3 linked regions of the Macaca mulatta genome follow. The protein of the gene in region 3 interacts with the protein of the main gene of each other region in a pairwise test. Links are inferred from orthologs where the notes say so. Each region holds a gene or a part of one and is shown on either strand. Other genes may lie near its edges.

Evidence for each region.
Region 1: the proteins of MAX (region 3) and MGA interact in binary tests that used the Homo sapiens proteins (3 or more experiments, as listed by UniProt). The link is inferred for Macaca mulatta from reciprocal best matches to the Homo sapiens genes MAX and MGA.
Region 2: the proteins of MAX (region 3) and UNC45A interact in binary tests that used the Homo sapiens proteins (3 or more experiments, as listed by UniProt). The two-hybrid records come from large-scale screens. The link is inferred for Macaca mulatta from reciprocal best matches to the Homo sapiens genes MAX and UNC45A.

Annotation. Positions count from the first base shown.
Region 1 is NC_133412.1:18,989,277-18,993,023, forward strand, and holds the start of MGA (MAX gene-associated protein), read left to right. Parts: upstream 1-1,036; 5' UTR 1,037-1,111; exon of another isoform or gene 1,112-1,402; intron 1,403-3,747. UniProt on the Homo sapiens protein: Functions as a dual-specificity transcription factor, regulating the expression of both MAX-network and T-box family target genes. Functions as a repressor or an activator.
Region 2 is NC_133412.1:80,845,942-80,849,688, reverse strand, and holds the start of UNC45A (protein unc-45 homolog A), read right to left. Parts: upstream 2,380-3,747; 5' UTR 2,340-2,379; coding exon 2,289-2,339; intron 2,133-2,288; coding exon 1,971-2,132; intron 1,753-1,970; coding exon of another isoform or gene 1,732-1,752; coding exon 1,695-1,731; intron 1,397-1,694; coding exon 1,221-1,396; intron 1-1,220.
Region 3 is NC_133412.1:138,199,755-138,203,501, reverse strand, and holds the start of MAX (protein max), read left to right. Parts: upstream 1-1,025; 5' UTR 1,026-1,197; coding exon 1,198-1,233; coding exon of another isoform or gene 1,234-1,437; intron 1,438-1,968; coding exon of another isoform or gene 1,969-1,995; intron 1,996-3,747. UniProt on the Homo sapiens protein: Transcription regulator. Forms a sequence-specific DNA-binding protein complex with MYC or MAD which recognizes the core sequence 5'-CAC[GA]TG-3'. The MYC:MAX complex is a transcriptional activator, whereas the MAD:MAX complex is a repressor.

The sequences.
Region 1 (3,747 bases), about 120 Mb from region 3:
TATGCTTACAATTTAATGCTCTTTATTACACATGATCATCTAATACCCTTTCTTTTGATTTTCTAGTCAGGGAATAATTTTCTGATAATTAGGCTTATGAAGTACCTTGAAATTAGAAAAGGGTGCCACAAACTATATTTTGGCTTAATAACCACATTATAAATGGATACATTTAATTTTTAATCTATAAATAAGAACTCTTGAGCTTGACCATCGCTAGTCAAATTCTTCAAGCTTAATCATCTCTTTAAGAATTGATGAAATCGTTCTGAAATCGGCAAAGCTGAAGAATGGAGTTCAAAGCAGAAAAGGTGTGAATTGTTTTAAGTGGGGGTTTCATGGGAGTAAAATATTAGGTTTTGGCCTGAAGGGCAGTTTGTGAATATGTTACAAAGTTAATTGGTTCTGATGCCTGACCACTTTTTCTGAGTTAGGAGACGGTGTTTTTTTTTTTCTCGTTTCCAATATACCGTATCTCGTATGAGGTGGAACCAGTAACTGTGATACAGGCATGTCCCTGCCTCCTTTAAAACGCCGCATGCTCTTATCACCCTGCTTTCCCCAACAGTAGCAGTGAGTTTAGCAAGAAAGGGCTCATCTTCTATCCCAAGGGAAATTCCAAGTGCCATTTCCACTCTCATGTGGGGCTCCTGGTAAGTTGCATTTAAATTAGCATTCTTTTTCATTGGCCAGGAAAGGCTGGCAGTTCATTTGTAGGCAAATACCCTTGCTGTTTTTTTTTTTTTTTTTGAATCTTTACAAAGTCACTCAGCAGGCACACACTTAACGCTTGCTCCGTGGAGAAAGGTTAAACGGTTTCCCCAAGACCACACAGATCAAACAAGTCGGGGAGGAGGGGCTCAAAGTGCCTGGTATACCTCGCCACACTCCCATAATTACCCAAACCGTCTCATTCCAAGCCCAAGGATCGGGCTTTCAAAGGGGACACGAAAGGAACGCCCGGGAGGTGAGCGCCAGGAGATCGGGAGAGGTGCCTTTCCCGGCATGCTCTGCAGCACACCGAGGGGCGCCAGGCGTATCCCGGCGTGCATCGGGGAGCGCCCAAGGGCGATGGTTCCCGGCTCCTGGAGAGGCGCGCGAAGTTAAGCCGGTAGGTGCGAGCTTCCTTAGCTTTGAACCTCTGGTTTCTCGTTTCCTCTTTATGAGTTTAATTCCATAATGGCAGAAAAGGATGGCCCTCTAACTACCCTCCCTCTCCGCGTGCGAACGACTCGGCGCCGCTTCGAGCTCGGTGCCAGGTGATTAGCGGGTAGGGGCGGGCCGGCGACCAGCACGTGACCCGAACTGGCAGCCAATGACTAGCCGGGTGGTCCAGCAGCGCGAGGATTCCGGGACCCGCGAGCGGAACGGCGCGTGGGTCGGTTGCTGTCGGCCCTGGCAGGTACGCGCAGGCGCTTTGCTTGCCACGCGCTACGCCCGTCCCCACGCGCCTGGTGGCGTGTTCTTGGCGCGAGGTGTTAACAGTCTGGGTGTTTTTGTGAGTTGGGGGGAAGGAGAAGGTGGCGGGGAGGGGGCTGAGGCGTCACGTGGACGCCACAGCCAATCTCAGGCCGAGGCGCACCCACAGCTTTCCCCGGCGCCCCGGGGTGCGACGTGTTCATTGAGGTTCGACCGGGCCCTGACGGCCTGAGCGCTCTTTCGAAGCGCGTGTGCGGCCCGTAAATTCTGGCCGCGGCTTTTCGCGGCGTCCTGCTCCGCGGCAAGCACAGACGACAAGTTCTCAGCAAAATGGCTGCTGGAAAGAGTCGCCAAGCAGGGGGAGCGCTGGGGCCGCGTGAAGGTCACATGACGAGGTTGGCAGCGCGTGCTGCTGGCGCGGGGCAGGGGGAGGGTGGGGGGGGCGTGGCGGGTCACGTGCCTTCGACTGCGCCGGCCTGTGGTTTTCCAGCGTCTTTGCTGCGGTCGGATTGCCTGTTTTTACTCCTCCCACCTCGAAGCGTGGCAAGCGTCGGTGAGAAGCTGTGTGGTGTACTGGGATGAGCCGAGATCTGGGAATTCGGAGGCCTGGGGTCCAGGCCTTTGGCTGGTTTCATCTTTCCACTCTCGTCTTCCATTTCTCATTCAGCTCAGTAGAGGAGATCACCTCTTAAGGCCCCTCATACGGCCTCTGACTTCCTCACTTCAATTTCAATGCAGAAAAAAAAAAATTTAACAAATTCTTAACAATTATAATGAGACAACCGCCCCCCCCCCAAAAAAAAAAAACCCACAGCCTCTCCCCTCTCAATCTTTACAGTGATGTGGGAAACCTGGTAGAGGTAATTTGTTATAATATTCTGGGCATGTCTCTCCATCTTTATCATTCCCATTTATACTTTATAGGGGCCCACGACCTCATTTGAAAAATACTGTCTTTTAGACATCTAATCCCTATGTATTTTCTGGGAGGAAATCAAAAGGTAACTACTATTGTCATAACTGTGGAGATGGGGAAATAGTAGTATTTAAAGGGAAATGCTGATCACCCATAACGCTGACTAGAAGGGCCTAGAAGTCTTCGTTTCCACTTGATGGGCTAGCTTTGTAAAATTTTAGAGACCTGGTAGCCTGTGGCATTTTTCTTGGTCTCTGCTCCCAGTTCCAGCTCTTTATTTCACCAAAGAAGGGTCAAGGCGTTGGTGAAGAAAAGTATAAATTGTTTTCCACACCACTGCTTATGTTTTATGATACCTTTTGATTTATCTTAAAAAGAGCCTTTGAAGATTGTGCGAACACATCTGGAAAACATTTATTGAGCAATCATAATAGCTGTCACTTTTGAGTAATTATAGTTAACATCTTTCTGGCTTGGTGTTTTAAATACTTTGTACTGTATTTAATTTATTTAGTTCTCATAACAAACCTGCGAGGTAAGTACTGTTATTTCCATTTTACCACTGAGGAAAATAGCAACAGAGAGATATGGCTGGCAGTTTTACATGATTCCAACCAGATTTCCTTTTGAAAACTTGACAAAATGGTTTTAAAATTCATTTGAAAAAGTAAACCTAGAAAGTAAGAAACTTTTTGGAAGAGAAGAATGGGAAAAGGACTTGTACTAGAGAATATACAAATAAAGCTTTGATAATCAAAATGTAAGTAGCAACCCTGGAACACAAGAGTGGTGAAACAGAATAATCTAGAAATATATAAGATTATTTAGTGTTACAAAGGTGGTATTTCATATCAGTAGGGAAGGGGTTCCAAAATTTATGTTGGAACAATCAACTGTTTGGAGAAAGAATGGGATTTTTACCTTAAAATTTAAATAAAATTGCCGGGCGTGGTGGTTCACGCTTGTAATCCCAGCACTTTGGAAGGCTGAGGCGGGCGGATCACCTGAGGTCGGGAGTTCCAGACCAGCCTGACCAACATGGAGAAACCCCGTCTCGACTAAAAATACAAAATTAGCCAGGCATGGTGGCGCATGCCTGTAATCATAGCTACTTGGGATGCTTGAACCCGGGAGGTGGAGGTTGCAGTGACCAGAGATTGCGCCATTGCACTCCAGCCTGGGCAACAAGAGTGAAACTCTGTCTCCAAAAAAAAAAAAAAAAAAACTAGGTGAATTTTATATATATATGTGTGTATGTGTGTGTGTGTGTGTATATATATATATATATTTTTTTTTTTGAGAGGGAGTTTTGGGCTTGTCCCCAGGCTGGAGTGCAGTGATGCTCACTGCAACCTCTGCCTCCTGGGTTCAAGCAATTCTGCCTCAGACTTCTGAGTAGCTGGGATTACAGG
Region 2 (3,747 bases), about 57 Mb from region 3:
CCTGGCCAACACAGTGAAACCTTGTCTCTATTAAAAGTACAAAAACTTAGCTGGGCGTGGTGGCACGCCCCTGTAGTCCCAGTCCCAGCTACTTGGGGGGCTGAGGCAGGAGAATTGCTTGAACCTGGGAGGCAGAGGTTGCAGTGAGCTGAGATCACGCCACTGCACTCCAGCCTGGGCAACACAGCAAGACTCTGTTTCAAAAAATAAATAAATAAATACATAAATAAATTAAATTAAATATTTTCCTTTGTATTTATATACCCAAGTGTACCCACAGAAAAAATATAGCATTATTTTGCTATGCAGGGGATCATTAACATAAATGATATAATACTATATGTGTTATCATATATTTTTCTTCTTTTCTTTTTCAAAAGAGACAGGGCCTCACTCTGTCATCCAGGCTGGAGTGCAGTGACACAATCATAGCTCACTGTAACTGCAAAATCCAGGGCTCAAAGGATTCTCCTGCCTCAGCCTCACAAGTAGCTGGGACTACAAGGGTGTGCCAACACACCCAGCTAACTTTTTAAGTTTTGGTAGCAACAGGGTCTCACTATGCTGCCCAGGCTGGTGTCAAACTCCTAGCCTCAAGTGATCGTCCCGTCTTGGCCTCCCAAAGCACTGGGATTACAGGCATGAGACAGCATGCCCTGCCTATTTTGCTTTGTTTATTCAACAAGTGTCCCAGAGCTTTCCATTTCAATATGTGTGTATCTACCCATTCTCAGTAACTATGTAAGAGTCTCTAGTAAGGACATTACCCAATTTATTCAGCCATTCCTCTATGGCTGGGCATTGAGGCAAGTTCCAAGCTTTTACTACAAAAAAGGCTGAAATAAACATACACATGTCTACTTGTGCATGTGGGCAAGGTTTCTGTGAGAGAAACAGCAAGAAGTAAACATATGGGATCAAAAGATACGCTCATTTCAAATTTGATATGCTAAAGTACTCTCCAAAAGAGCTGTACCAGCCTCACCACTGATGTGTCTGCCTCACTCCTTCTTGAAAAGTATACAAACTTTTAAATGTCTGCCAAACAGACCTCCAAATCAACAGTAACACGCTGTCATCTTAATTTGCTTTTCCCTGGCCACAGGCAAGGTTAACCAGAATTCTATATGTTCACTTGCCATCAGTATCTCTTGTCTGGAGAACTGTGTCTGCACCCCTGGCCCAGATCCCTTCACCACCTCTCTGGGTCACTCACATACCTTCTCCTGAATCTGGCCCCCGATGTTCCGCAAGGCCTCCTGGAAAACTTTGTTCTTGGGCTCCAAGCTCACACATCTCTGCAGGTCAAGGACAGCCTGGTCGAGGCGGCCCAGCTTCTCTAGGGCTTGGCTCCGCCGGTAGAGTGCTTTGACATCCCCACCATCCTTTTCAATGGCTGAGCACAAACAGGAGCGCTGTCAGCACCCATGAGGCCACCATCTCCAGGCAAGAGCAGTAGGGAAAGATCTCGAGGAAAGGCCAGAAGGTAGGGGGACGAATGTGGGGCTCGGTGCTTCAGCCTCAGAAAAGGTGAGGGTAGCTGCAGAAAAGGAAAGGCCCGAGGCAGTGGGAAAGAAAGAAGGCAGATGTGTCTCCGGGGCCAAAGGAGGAGAATGTGATGGTGCAGCGGTCCCAGAGTCCTTGCCCACCACAGAAGCCCTACAGCTCCACACGAGGGTCCACCATTCCCCTACCTTTGGATGCCTCTGTTTCTGCTTTGTCGTAATCTTCCTGTAAGAGAAAGACAGGAGCCTGAAAGAATGGTCATCTCCCTTTCGGGGCACTAACCAGGCAGCAGGGGTACTCTCGCTGTCCAAGGTCACCCGATCCCCCTTCACGCTGAGGTGCAAAAGACATCTGGCAAGCGGGGATGGCCTGGGAGCTTGAATTCCCAGCTGGGGCCCAAGCATCAGCTGAGATGGGCGAACCGGGGCCCGGCAGGCAAGGGGAAGAGCGCCAGGCTCCCTCACCAGCTTGAGGTGGCAGGCGGCCCGGTTCCGGTGCAGAATGGCCTGGTCCTGGGGCGTCGCGTCCAGACCCAGGGCCTGAGTGTAGGCCCCCAGGGCGCCCTCGTAGTCTCCACATTTGAACAGCTCGTTGCCCTCTTTCCGCAGCTGCTCCACTGAGCTGGCCTGTAGAGAGAAAGGGGGCGGAAACGTCGGAGGGGGTTCGGGGCAGAGCCCTGGAGAAGAGGAGGGATAGGCACGAGCCTCATGGATGGGGAGAAGGAGGCCTGGGATGGTCAGGGCGGGTGCGAAGGGGTGATGGCGCGGGGACTGGGTACGCACCCCGGAGGTGGCCGGCCGGGGCTCGGGGATCCCTGGACCACTCACAGTCATCGCGGAGAGGTTGTCCCGTGCCCGCGCAGGCGCAGTCTCTGGTGCGGGACGAGTCTGGCTCCGGACGCTGCCGGGAGCTGCCCCGCCCCACTCTTGCGTCGGAGGTGGAGTCAGAGAGGGGCAGGGCTAAAGAGTTAGCGCGCCCGGGCAGGGGCGGGGCACTCGACTCTGGATCGCAGGTGCAGGCAAGCTCCGGTCGCGCCTAAGCTGTCCCCGCGGAGACCTGCAGGAGTTCACGGCGGAGGACCCGGAGGGAGGCCTGCGGTGGCTCCAGCCCCGACCCCGGCCCCGATCGCAGCAGAAGTGCACAAGGTCTGCGGTCATCAGGGTCACAACCAGTAGGCTGTAGAGGCCCAGCACTAGGAGTTGTCCTGGGCCCCTGCGGGAGAGAAAAAAGTATCTGGATCCCGGCCCTGGCCGCGCTCTGGCTGCTGCGCTCTGTGGGAGTACAGAACCCCTGGGAGTCCGGAGAAAGCTCGGGACTCCATCCCCAAATAAGTGTAGTCTTACATACACACATTTGCATACGAATTTAGGAGCTCATCCTAGAGCCACCCATGGGCAGATTCAGTATGGCTCCCTATTACCCGCTTGCACAGCCCCCTGAACTTCTCCCTTGTAATTGTAATCATGATCTACATGATTTTCTGTTGCGGTCTGTCCCTTCACTAGTCTGTAAGTTACAAGCCTCCCACCCCATAATTTAGGAACAGAGCCCCAGATATTGGAACACCCTGACGATGTTCCAGTGGCTCCGGGGTTGGAGATCTCACCTGAGGATGGGCGGGGGCGGAAGAGCGGACAGGTTGACTTGGTACAGGGCCTCAAATTCAGCCCGGGTGCAGCAGGAGCCCCCTGCAGCCTGCAGGTGGCAGCAGTAGGCTTCCTCTGGAGAATCAGAGAGACGAGGGCAAAAGAAACCAGGGTAGTGGTGGCCATTGACATCCCGGGTGGTCTGGCACAAGTGAGGGTGGTGGACCACAGCTGAAGAGAGAGGTTGGGGGGCTAGAAATAAGCAGGAGGGATCTTTCCACAGCCCACTCCACCCCTACTGGAGAGTAAAAGAGATCAGCCCCTACCGGAAGAGCAGGCGCCCTTCCATTCATCCCCATCAGTTCCAGTTCCCAGGAATAGCCCATAGCACGATAGGCAGGTGGGCCACAGGGGTAAGTGCTGTACCTGAGAGAGAGGTTGACTGGACAAGGGTCACCCAGCTGAAGAGCAGCAGTAGCCCCACGGATAGGCCTGTCAGCAAGGGGCCTGACCTTCTTCTCCAGACGCCCATGAGATTTCACCACCACCTCTGTCCTGGTCCTGGGAACTCTAACATCTCTCTTTCTAGGCCATGACTGCATAAATAAGGAAATAAAAATCAAAGCCCCAAGGCCCTCGGGCACCATTAATACAA
Region 3 (3,747 bases):
ATGGTTTTGGTCTTATCCGTTATGGCATCCCCTTGTGGCACATGTTAGGTGTTCAAAAAATATTGGTGGAATGGATGTGATTACACTTCATGCCACAGTATATAAATATGATTTTAACTGGACAGGGAACTGCACAAGTTTCCCATATTGATCCTTTTTGCGATCTTAATTATGGTACTCTGAGCTGGGATACTGCCTAGACTGCCTGGGCTACAACAAACTCTAAAGGGCTTTTACTTTCACGCCCACAGTGGTTGAGGGTTCGCGTTCTGTGAATGCTGGAACCTCACGCGAGTAGCTGAGTAGCGAGGATGGTCACTCCCGGATAAATGAATACAGGATTCTCGCGGCTGGGAGCGGTCGCCCGGCGAGGTCGGTCATCCTGCCTGTCCGGTAACACCACGAAACACCTGCCACTGATACCTCCCCACCAGCTCCCGAGGGTTCGCGCCGGCATCCCGAGCCGCACCCCCTGTTCCGCCGCAGCCGGATTCCCTCCAGGGCGGGTTACGCCCCTAGGCGCAAAACAGAACCACTTCGCATCAAGAAGACAAAGTATAACCAGTCACACCAAAAAGAGGCAGCATTATTTAGACAGCCGGCTACTCCCCCAGAGACTCCACCCAGTCCCCTGGGCCCGGCGTTCAGCGCGCCGACGGTGCCCGGCTCCAGGAGCTCCAGCTCCCTCCACGTGTCCTGTCTTCCCAGCAGCCTCCTCTGCCGCCTCTGGAGGAAAATCTCCTGACAACTCGCGGTCTGCGGACTACGACTCCCAGGAGGCGCCGCGCCGCGGCTCTCCCCGCCCCCTTTCCGGGACGCGCAGGCGCCCTGGGCTCCGTCTACCAGCCTGGCTGGCGACGCCTGGATGCGGTTTCTTCCGGGATTTGTAGTTTTTCTGGAGTTACCCGGGCCGTCTGTCAAAGGGACAAAAACTACAAGTCTCGGCTGCCCCAGCGCTGCGAGCTTGGTCACGTGGCGGGGGCCGACCGGGCGTGCGTGCCGCCGTTGATCCGGTGCTGCAGTGAGGAGGTGGTTCTTGCCCGTGTTGTGTGTGTGTGTGAGTGAGAGAGCGAGTGAGTGAGTGAGTGAGTGTGTGTGTGGGGGGACTCGGCTTGTTGTTGTCGGTGACTTCCCCCTCCCCTTCACCCCTTCCCCTCCCCGCCGCCGCTGCAGTGGCCGCTCCCTGGGCTGTAGGAAATGAGCGATAACGATGACATCGAGGTGGAGAGCGACGTGAGTCCTGGGGCTTCTTCCTTCCCGTGCGGGTTGTCAGGCGGGGACAGCGGCCGGGGCTCTCAGCGGGGCGACGGCGGGAGGGGGCCGGGCCGCCGCCGCCTCCTTCCCCTTCCCCTTTCCCTCGGGGCCAGGACTGCCTCCGTCGCGTTCCCGGCTCGCTCCCCTCCGGCTCCTGGCCGGAGCGGCCTCCTGGGACTGGAGGTGGGGGGAAGACACGCGGCTTCTGGGACTCCCACCTTCTCCCGTGGGGGAGGGTGCTGCGGCCTCCCGCTCCCACCTTCCCGGGCTCAGGATCCGGGGGACAAGGATGGGGGGCGCCCGGGATCCCATTGTCCGGATCCAGGGGAAGGGGACGGCGTTCAGGACCTGCCCCTTCGGAACGCGATCCTCTCCTCCCGTGACCCGCGGATCCTGGGGGGCGAGGAAGGGCGGAGAGGGGTTGGGGGTGCCTAGATGCCCGAGCTGGGTCTGCAGGGAGGAGACAGTGCTCGAGACCCCTCTGGCCCGGGTCGGATCCCGGAAGGAGGGGCGGCGCTCGGGACCCCTCTATCCCGCTACCGGATCCCGCCGAGGGTGGAAGGGTGGGGGCAAGGGGTGGGGAGGGAGGAAGGGGTGTCGGGCTGACTCCCCACCCTCCGCTTCCTCTGCCGCCGGCATTTTCTTTCTTATTATTGAATGTTAAGTGTAAAAATAACTTCTATATTTTCTATTTTTTTTTCTCTCCTATTCCAGGAAGAGCAACCGAGGTTTCAATCTGCGGTACGTCTCCTACTCTCCATTTCATTTTTATTTCCGTTCAGTTCTATTCCTTTTTGGGGTCAGAGAGAAAAAGAGATCGTACTGTTACTTTTAATATTGTAGTAAATCACTAATGTTAACCACTAAGGTGAGGTGGGGCCTGGTTCTGGAGGGTGGGGGAGTTGCAAATCCTATCATTCTAGATTCTCAGGTGATAAGTTCAGTAAGAGGAGCTGTATGCAAAGAATTGAATTGTTCTGTAGTTTTCAAATAGGGGATCCAGCTGCCGCTATGTAAGTGGAAATGAGAAATGCAGCATTCTGAAGTCAGTGGTAGTATTATTTCAGGGCAAAGTGGTCAGAAGATTTATTTAGGAACAAGTAGATTTTAAACCATATCTGTATAATTATGTGAAGCTGAAGCCACATGCAATAATCGCCTTTAACCAAGTCATGTGACTGCTCTAGACCTGTAGAATCTAGCACAATGTGGTATTCTAACACAAAAATTGGAAATGTAGAGGAGCCAAACGTTGCATCATCAAAGTGTCACATAAAGTTATTATGGTCTGATTCTCTGTATTTGAAGAAGAGGTATAAAGAAAATTAAAAAATAGCTGAAGAAAAGTGGCATTGCAGGAAGAGCTTTGCTGAAAGGTGATGGATGAGACCATATAATGTTATCAATAATTTCTTAGGGTTTTGATATTAATGTTCCCAGTAGATGGTTCTGTGGATTTAGATATGCACTAATTTCATGTCTTTGGAGTCTGAGACAGTAATATGGGTTTTTCATGAATAGATTAGAGGGGAAAAAAAGAAAACATATAGAATAAATCAGAATCAGAGGGGAAGAGAAATAAGTATATCAGAGTTCTAATATTTGAAATTGGGAACAGTAGGAAGTGTATAGAATGGGGGTAAAAAATTTGAATGCCCATGAGGGCCATAAATAATAAAGAAAGAAGAGGTGAGGACTTGGGTACTGGAGAGCAATGCCTCTCCTAAAAAGTCAGCCACTACTGAATTCCAGTGGTTTGTTATGTAGGAGTGAAGGGTCAGTATTGCCAGATCTTCCTATTTTTTATTTTATTTTATTTTATTTATTTATTTTTGAGATAGAGTCTCGCTCTGTCACCAGGCTGGAGTGCAATGGTGCTGTCTCGGCTCACTGCAACCTCCGCCTCCTGGGTTCAAGCGATTCTTCTGCCTCAGCCTCCTGAGTAGCTGGGACTACAGGCGCACACCCCCACATCCAGCTAATTTTTGTATTTTTAGTAGAGACGGGGTTTCACCTTGTTGGCCAGGCTGGTCTTGATCTCTTGACCTCGTGATCCGCCCACCTCGGCCTCCCAAAGTGCTGGAATTACAGGCGTGAGCCACCGCGCGCCCAGCTGATCTTCCTATTTTTTAAGAAAGATTAGAAATCCAAAGCGTTATGTTATTTTTCTGATTTTTAAAATGATGTGTGGAACAACTGTTTGGGCTTGTTAGAATTTGCAGGATGTCACTTTGATACCTCTGGTATAAGAACCTAATAACCACAGGATAAAGGCAAGCCATCTCAGTTGTACCTGCTCTTCATTAGAGCAAGCAAAGATTATGCAGGTTGTCTAAGCAAATAGGCATTAAGAAAACTTATTTATTGAGAGCTCGTATTTTCTTAAAATCCGGGGATGTAGTTGTTCCAGAAATCTTACAAATTATCCCTGGGTAATAGTCATTAAAGATAATTTATTTTGTTTTATTTATCCTTGAAGTATTCTCATATACT